Danio rerio: one gene and its partner. The protein of the gene in region 1 purifies or fractionates together with the protein of each later gene. This does not show direct contact. Links are inferred from orthologs where the notes say so. Each region holds a gene or a part of one and is shown in the gene's direction. Other genes may lie near its edges. The genes, in order: dnmt1 and daxx.

Region 1 (4,453 bases):
AACATATATAACTTACATCCAAGCAGCATAAAATAAACCACAGTACATAATAATAATAATAATATTAATAATAATAATAATAGCATAAATAAAACCTTAAATCTTACTAATATAAATGAAAATAAATTTAGGGTGGTCAATCGATATGAGCTGACAAAAGTTTAGAAAGCTTTACAACACTTTTTGTTTACATCTGTTTTATAGATTTTTATAAAATGTAAAAAAAAATAATTAAATGCTTTGACACGAGGAGAAGCTTTATCAAATCTACATTTGTGAATAGAAAATTTTGCTACAATCAACATATAATTGCACAAAAATTTAATTTCTTTGTTTTTCATAAAAATATCAAATTTCACAATGTGATAGCCAAAAACAGGTATTACATTTTTTTTGTTATCGACCCCCTATATAATCTGTCCCAAAAGGATTTTAAAATAGTACAACTGTATATATATATATATATATATATATATATATATATATATATATACACATACATACATACATACATACATACATACATATATATATATATATATATATATATATATATATATATATATATATATATATATATATATATATATATATATATATATATACACACACACACACACACACACACACACACTTTCAAGCGGAAAATGCAAGCATTACTGTCTAGAATTCTAGAAAACTCATTACATGGATAAATGCCATTAATTGTTTTGAAGTGTTCTTCTTTCATTTTAGGTAACAAGGGAAGTGACAGGTATCTATTTCTTACTTCAATAGTGTCCGCCTTAGAAAATCTCTTTTCTTTTTACAGGAATAGGGAAATATTCTATTATAATATTCTATAATTGTAAGTAGAACTGAAACTTAACTAGCTAGCCAGCTAATCTGGCTTCATGGTACAGGCCCCTGTTTGGCCTAAAGAAAGATATGGGTGGTGACAGAAAAGGTGTGACTAGTCTAAAATAAAAATTTCGTTTAAGTCATATAAAGCATTCAAAGTAGACCATTAGGATATTTTTTCTATTTGACATGCCTGTTTACTGCATTTATTTATCATTCGTTGTTGTTGTTTAAGTGTCTCTATTGCATAAATAAATGTATTAACTTATTTTGAACTATGTCACAGTTTTGTTGTCGCAGACTCGCAGGAGGAGCTAAATATTTCAACAGGAAGCGTTAATGAATTCATATCTTTTATTTTTCTTTCTCTTTTCGAAGTTATCTTTCAGTTAACAACGTTAATTGTTGATCTTTTGTTAATTGTATACATGTCAACACTACTTTATGTGCTTTAAAAAAATAAAAAAAAGGAGGTAATGAAATTCATGGGCAAATATGCACCCCTGAGGCAAAGCAAATGTGGTACATCCCGTAATGGTTGAATCTCCTAAGGGGTGAACATGAAAATAAACCTTGAAATGAGCTTAATATTTGTTATTCCTTTACCCTTAACGTATACATTTAATAAACCGAATTAGACCCAGATACACTCACAACACTCTCACTGATTTATTTTAAAACGAAACACAAACGCACAACTTCTTTGACACCGTCCATCCCCGTGCTTTAAATGAATGGTAGCGTCCGACTCACCCGCGTTTCCGCGCGAAAAGGCGGCCCGCGCGTATTTCTCAGCTGCTAGCGACAATTCATAAAGCCCGTTGAGCCTCTCCAGCGCGCGCTGCAGTTGGCACTGTCACATATTAATACCCGCTTTTATCTGTTGTTGTTTTAAATCGTGTTTTTAAGTAGTCAATTCCTTTGATCAAAATCGAACTTGAAATGCCTACCAAGACCTCATTGTCTCTGCCAGAGGATGTCAAAGAACGGTATGGTGCTGTATTTGCTTTTAATGCCACTGTGATGGTCGTTTGCTCATTCGCGGGCTTTACACGCTTCGCGCTGCAGACTGATCACGTCACAAAACGGCAGTTCGGTTGTTTATGTGTGCCATTTTTAAGCGAAAAGAGATGCTGTGTTTTTATTATTGTTAGCATTTAGCCAGGCTACGAACGTTCTGCCCGCCACCAGCTCGCGTTTCGTGGGTAAAACAGGCGATTGTTTTGATGCGAACAGCCTCGCAGGTGTCAGTATGACTGCATTTGGCGCCAAATACACATGTGTCCTAGTGAAGCCCTGCCCGCCTCCTGTCTCCCTCTGCTCAATCACTGCACGAGTCATTACAGTTATACCCACGAAATACTAATGAATTCTGTGTACTTTCTTAAAGACACGATTATCTGAAGTGGTTTTCGTGAATCTGGTCTGTCCATGCGTGTTTGTTTACTCGCGTTGTCCAACAATGTGTTGAGATGAATGCGTCCAGTTCAATAAATTTTGGATTTATCAACGTTTATTAAATGTTATTTATACTTGAAGTGGTGATTGTGCAATGCTAATTGGATGTTTGTTTATTTTTCTAGGCTTCAGGTGTTGGATGAAGGTGGAGACAGTTTGTCAGATGAGGTAAACATTTACGTTACTGCGTATGAGTTCAAATGAAATTAGGTGGTTACTTATTGCATGTCCACACTAACACAAAATAACACAATCCCTTTCATTCAGAATGTACAGTTTAACCGTGTAGTTGTTGTGCATCTGGCAAAAGGCTTTCTTAAACTGTTGGCCTTTTAAACTGTATAAACAGTTTTGTAAAGAGGCTTTTGATATACAGTTTACAACATGAATCATTAATAAGAGTTTCAGTTTGTATACTTGTGCTCTTTTTCAAGGCTATTTTGTTCAAGTAGTAAGACTAATGCCTTCACTGAAAGTTCTGAGAGTGCTTTTTTTTTTTTAATTGCCTCACCAAGATTTTTTTTTTTATTGCATTTCTTATCTCCCAATGTCGCTAGTAGACAAACACAGTCCTATCTTTCAACACATCCCATAATTTCGAAAACATCAACCTCTACCAAATGGTTAATGTCAGTTTATGGTAAAACTATCGGAATAATTACATGAAATACTATTTAAAAAAAATAATTAGAAAACATGGTGCAAGACCATTTTATTTAAAAACAGTCAAAATAAAACTTTGAATACTAAATTACTTTTTAGAAGGATGCCATAAACTATTTCAGATTCTCATTTAATGTGTTTTTAGTTGTTGTTGTTGTTGTTGTTGTTTTTTTTTTCTACAATAAAATAGTGTATTATTGCAACAGGATTGATTATTTTGTTTTGTAAACCAGCAATGCTGTGCGTAAACCATTATTTTATTATTTAAAACAATTCTTTAAATAACTTTAACAGTCATTATTTAAAACAAATATGTCAAAATATGGTCAACCATTTGGTAAAGCAGGCAGTTAAAGAGTTAACAAGAGGAAATATTCACTTTGAAGACATAAAATGCATAATAAAATGGTGCCATTTGTACGTCACACATTTTACTAGCACCTTAGTTAAGGATGCAAGTAGGCCATTTTGTTACCCAAAATGTGACATGTGAAAACTGCAGCTCTCTCATTGGCTGGAGAGAATCATCAGTACTTGCGTCATTGGATTTGCTGTGTGAAATAACAAACCAGTTGAATCAGCAACAGCCACTGCCAGATTATTTCAATGAACCGTTACGCAACTTAAAATCGCTATATCATGATCAGCAGACTTTTAACGTGAAAACGCCTTTTAGTAACCTATGAAAACTCACCACATCCTGAATAACTTACCCCGTTTGTCATATTTACAGGAAAGCCTAAATGCTTTCATACATGTAGATTAATCCTAAAGTTTTAACGATTGCTGAAGGAAACGCCTTTTGCCTCATTCAAATCAAGGAAAAATTAATCATGCGTGTTGTGAACTGTACATCGGAGTGTTTGATCTACCCAGGTGAGATCACATGCGAGAGGTGAGAAAGAAAAACTTAAGACCCTTAAAGTAATAGTTAACCCAAAAAAAGTATCAACACATGACTTGCTCCCCCTCACACCATCCTCAGTGTACAGATTTTTGGATAAAAACCTTTCAAATTTGTACCAAAACTGTTGTCCTGATAACCACTCTTGTCTTGGGACAATTTCTTATTTTTTTAACAACTTCAAGTGTTGGTGACAATGCACATTATGCATGACTGTCAGAGTCGTATGCAGAATGTATGGCTTAAGGAGTGAGTAAATGATGGAGTGATTTACATTTTTTGGGTGAAATATTTCTTTAACATATTTGTTGGTTTGCATGAGCCCAAAATACATTTGAAGTAGGGTCCAGAAGGAATTAAACACTCCTATAAACTAATAGAGGTGTTGCAACTGTCCATAACCCACTCTCTCTGAAGAAGTGCTCGGGTTTTTCCACGGGTCAGGGAGTAGTGTTGTTATGCTCTGAAACCATGTGCCTCTATTGGAAATTGTGCATGTAAAAGATGGCATATGTGAATGGCCCTTAGTTAAAATCCTCCTCAGCCATGGTGAAAATTAGCCTTTGATCCAGTATGCGTGCGTTTTGT
Region 2 (4,443 bases), on another chromosome or scaffold:
AGCTTCAGTAGGCGACCATGTGAGAGTCGCAGAGAGCTAACTGCCGGCATTGCCAACATTTCCTTTTCAAAGTGCCAACAATGATCCAATACCAGTTCCAAAAGTGCATTCTACTATTGTTCTCCTGTTGTGCTTATAATTAAACCATGCATGCACTTAGTAATAAAACATTTCTTACATTAGACTTTGAACTCCAAAACATGCCTCCAAAACATTTATTCATCCATTTTCCTTCGGTTTAGTCCTTTTATTCATCAGGGGTCGCCACAGTGGAATGAACCAGGAACTTATCTAGCATATGTTTTACACAGGGGATGCCCTTCTAGATGCAACCCAGTACTGGGAACCACCCATACACTTATTCACACACATACACTACAGCCAATTTAGTTTATTCAATTCACCTATAGCGAATGTCTTTGGACTATGTGAGAAACTGGAGCATGTTATCTTTGGAAATGTCAACTGACCCAGCTGGCACTCAACCTTCTTGCTGTGAGGCGACAGTGCTAAGCACTAGTGGTGTAAAGTAACTAACTACAAATACTCAAATTATTGTATTTGAGTATTTTTTCTCAGGAATTGTAATTTACTAAGTAGTTTTATAAATGTGTACTTTCACTTTCCCTTGAGTACATGTTTAGTGCTTTATCTGTACGTTTACGCCACCACTTTCCTTCAACCTGCAGTTACTACTTTATTTTTTCTTTGTCTTGTCTTTTATTGTCAAATTGCATATAGGAGGTACTTTTTACTCATACTTTAAGTAATATTTACAACAGCTATACTTTTACTCTACTTGCTCTACATTTTTAGGCAAGTAATGGTACTTTTACTTATGATTTTTCAGTACTCTTTCCACCACTCTGTGGTCACTGTGTCACCCTTGGGATTTTGTATTTTTATTTAATTTTGAAATGTATTTTAAATACATTTTTAAAAGGTTAATCTGTTGATTGTGCTTTTTATGATATGCTATTAAGGCCTACTTTATATAAAATAAATCTTTGAAAAACATTGCTCTATAAATTGATTAATTATTTCTAATTAATAATCAACTCATTATTAACCCTTTGATGCACTAAATGGGTCTAAAGTGACCTGTCTCTGCTTATTTTTTCTATATCTATTTTATAGCTTGTGCATCAAAGGGTTAATACAGTTAACAATTAATAATTCAGCTTATTTATTTAATTTGTTATTTTATTTAATTTTCTTCAAAATGTAGGCCTCTGGTCTGGTGTTTGGAAAAATAATAGAGATTTTTATTGCCTGTTTTCTTTATTTTCTTTTACTCTCAGGTAGCCAGCACATAATAATTGTAGAATTCAACCCTCACACTACTAGTGGCTCCCTGATAAGTATCAGTTTTGTTTCTGGAGAAGCAAAACACTAGATGAGCACCTGCTAGCGCTAAGAAATTAAATTTGCTTCATTACCACATCATGTTATTGTTATCTGAAGAACTGTACAATCAGTTTATTCTAGAGTCTCCAGTTCCCTACGAGGCGCTGATACGCATCTAAATGATTAGCGTAGCAAACAGATCGCAGAAGAAAAGCAAAGCATTCACCCAATCAGCGATCAGTATACTGACCGTCAGCGAACCAGCGCGCCGCATGTTGAGCTGTACAAAGATCCAGCGCCGAGTTTCAGGATCCGAGCGCGTAAGTTCGTGTTTTTTGTCTATTATTGATCGACTTCGAATAAGACTTTATTTTAAACATAATCACGAAGCGTTTGCGAAGGTTGTGAGGAAACTGACAAATATGAAATTACACCTTAGCTATCGTCGTTTTAATGCTTTTAACAAATAAACGGAAGGAGTCTGTATGGCATGTCCGAATTAAAGAGCTACAGTCTTCAAACCAAAAGGCAAAATAACTGAAATTATTACATTTATATTTATGTTAAGTGTAAACAGTGTGAAAATCTCATTGACACATCCAGTTAAATCTGGTTGATATGGTATTAAGTCAGTCAAAAGACATCATAAACATAGTTACCGCTCAAATTCACTCGTATTGTTATTGTGTTATAGGAGACGGATGTGGAGGCATATTATTGGATATAGATACATGTTATACGTCTTGTGTGGTTTTGTTTAATGTCTGATAATTCTTTTTATCAAGATGGTGACGAATCATAAGTACTAGTTAACCGAGTTTGTTGTGTGTGAATCATCATAGTTGTGTCACATTATCACATGATCGAAAGCTAGCAATATGAAGTAGCATTTGGCTACGATTTTAAGATTCCTGTCTTTAAAATTCTGGTTAGATATTTAATTATAGTATTTCGTTTAACTATGTAATGTTTTCTCTTCAATTCAGAAAAATAGGGACATTTTAAACGTGGCTTAGTATATCAGAACAACAACAACAACCAGAGAAACCCACATATCTGTCATAATTTACGTCAAATAAACTCTATTCCATAGATAAAGTGAACAGAGTGAATAATTTCACATTAAGTGTTTTCTCCCCTATTTAAGTCTGTTATGAGAAAAAAAGCCTAACTGCTTATTGTTAAGGAACATTAAGCCGTGTTAAGCTTATCTTATTCCTTACTTGGATTTCAATGGGGAGAAAACACTTAATGTGATATTGTTCACTTCATCTATGGAATTAGAGCTTGTTCATTTTACAGTAATTAATGTTAATTACAAATTTGACAGAAATTATATACAGTTTAAGTCAGAATTATTAGCCCCCCTAAATTATTAGTCCTCTGTTTATTTTTTTCCTCCAATTTCTGTTTAACAGAGAGCAGGTTTTTTCAACACATTTCTAATCATAATAGTTTTAATAACACATTTCTAATAACTGATTTATTTTATCTTTGCCATGATGACAGTAAATATTATTTGACTAGATAACTGCTTTTATGCTAGCCGAAATAAAACAAATAAGACTTTCTCCTGAAGAAAAAGTATTATCTGGCATACTGTGAAAATTTCCTTGCTCTGTTAAACATAATTTGGGAAATATATTAAAAAAAAAAAAAAAAAAAAAATATATATATATATATATATATATATATATATATATATATATATATATATATATATATATCAAAGGGGGGCTAATTATTCTGACCTCAGCTGTAGATGAAGTTTTTCTATTTCCACATTTGGACTTTCTCCTTAATATAATCTCATAAAAGTATTTGCAAATTCTAAATGGAGAAATTATATTAGCAGCCGATGACTATCAATGTAGAACATTGTTCACAGTCAATAAAATGGTGCTTATGTTGTTTTGAAGTCATACGTAAATGCAATTTCAGACCTAATATTAAAAGTAGTGTGGTAAACAATTTAGAGATCGTTAAATGAATGAATGTGCAAATATATCACCAGCTTTACCTCAATTTAAATAATGGTTACACACACGGCATTGTTGGTTTACAAAAAAAAATTAAGCAAATATAATCCTGTTGCACGTCTACATTTGATTTTGGTTTTATTGTAAAGCAAACTCAACCAGAAATCGTATTAAAGTAGAATCTGAGGTAATTTATGACATACTTCAAAAAGTAAAGATGATTTAGTGTTCAAAAATGTTTTATTTTGAATTTTTTATTTATTTTTTAATACATTGGTCTTATACAGTTCATGTTTTCAGATTTTTCATATTACAGTATATGTATTTATTCCAGGTACGTTTACTGTAAATAAACCAACATATTAACCATTTGGTAGAGGTTGATATTTTAGAAATTATGGGATGTGTTGACAAAAATTCATTAAACGTGTTAACTATCGACATTGGGAGTTAAGAAATGGAATTCCAAAACTATTCTTGGTTGGGGAGTTAAAGGGTTATGCGTTTAAGCGTTTGTCCCAAAAATGACATTGTTGATATTATTGTTTTCCAGGTAAATGCTGATTTTGAAACACCAGTTTGGATTTTGACTGTCTTGATCAATTCAATGCTCAGTGCTCAAGTATGTACAGACAAGCAGAATACATAAATATTAAATATTTAAAACGCATACCTATTGTGTTGATGTCATGATAGATAAACCATGCTCTTGGATATGCTGTTCTGTAAAATACACCCAAAAATATCACCTTGTCCCTTGTACATTTCTTACATCCTGCTAGTTTCAGTTTCACTTAAAAATTGATTTGACATTTAAATGTTGTTCATATTAAGGCCATATAACTCCTTTTCATTTTAACCTTTACATTCCTTTTTCATTGGAGTAAAGTGAAACTGTTACAAACTTTTGATTACTGAAAGCTTATTTGGCCATCAAAACTGAATATTTTTTTTTAAAGGAAAAAAAACATTGCCCAGAAATCCCCTATTTTATAACTCAAAATGTCTTTTTTCCCATTTTAATTTAAAAACGTTTTCAGTTTTAATGGTTGAATTACATTTTAGTAATTAAAAAGATACATTTCGATGAACAGGACAAGCTTTTTGCTGTTACAAA

The links.
Region 2: the proteins of dnmt1 (region 1) and daxx purify together in Homo sapiens (affinity purification with western blotting; 4 studies listed by BioGRID, with this or other methods). This does not show direct contact. The link is inferred for Danio rerio from reciprocal best matches to the Homo sapiens genes DNMT1 and DAXX.

Annotation. Positions count from the first base shown.
Region 1 is NC_133178.1:57,150,566-57,155,018, reverse strand, and holds the start of dnmt1 (DNA (cytosine-5)-methyltransferase 1), read left to right. Parts: upstream 1-1,635; 5' UTR 1,636-1,782; coding exon 1,783-1,829; intron 1,830-2,423; coding exon 2,424-2,466; intron 2,467-4,453. UniProt on the Homo sapiens protein: Methylates CpG residues. Preferentially methylates hemimethylated DNA. Associates with DNA replication sites in S phase maintaining the methylation pattern in the newly synthesized strand, that is essential for epigenetic inheritance.
Region 2 is NC_133194.1:8,084,833-8,089,275, reverse strand, and holds the start of daxx (death domain-associated protein 6), read left to right. Parts: upstream 1-1,617; 5' UTR 1,618-1,619; coding exon of another isoform or gene 1,620-1,667; 5' UTR 1,668-1,683; exon of another isoform or gene 1,684-1,800; coding exon of another isoform or gene 1,801-1,875; intron 1,876-3,879; coding exon of another isoform or gene 3,880-3,948; intron 3,949-4,443. UniProt on the Homo sapiens protein: Transcription corepressor known to repress transcriptional potential of several sumoylated transcription factors. Down-regulates basal and activated transcription.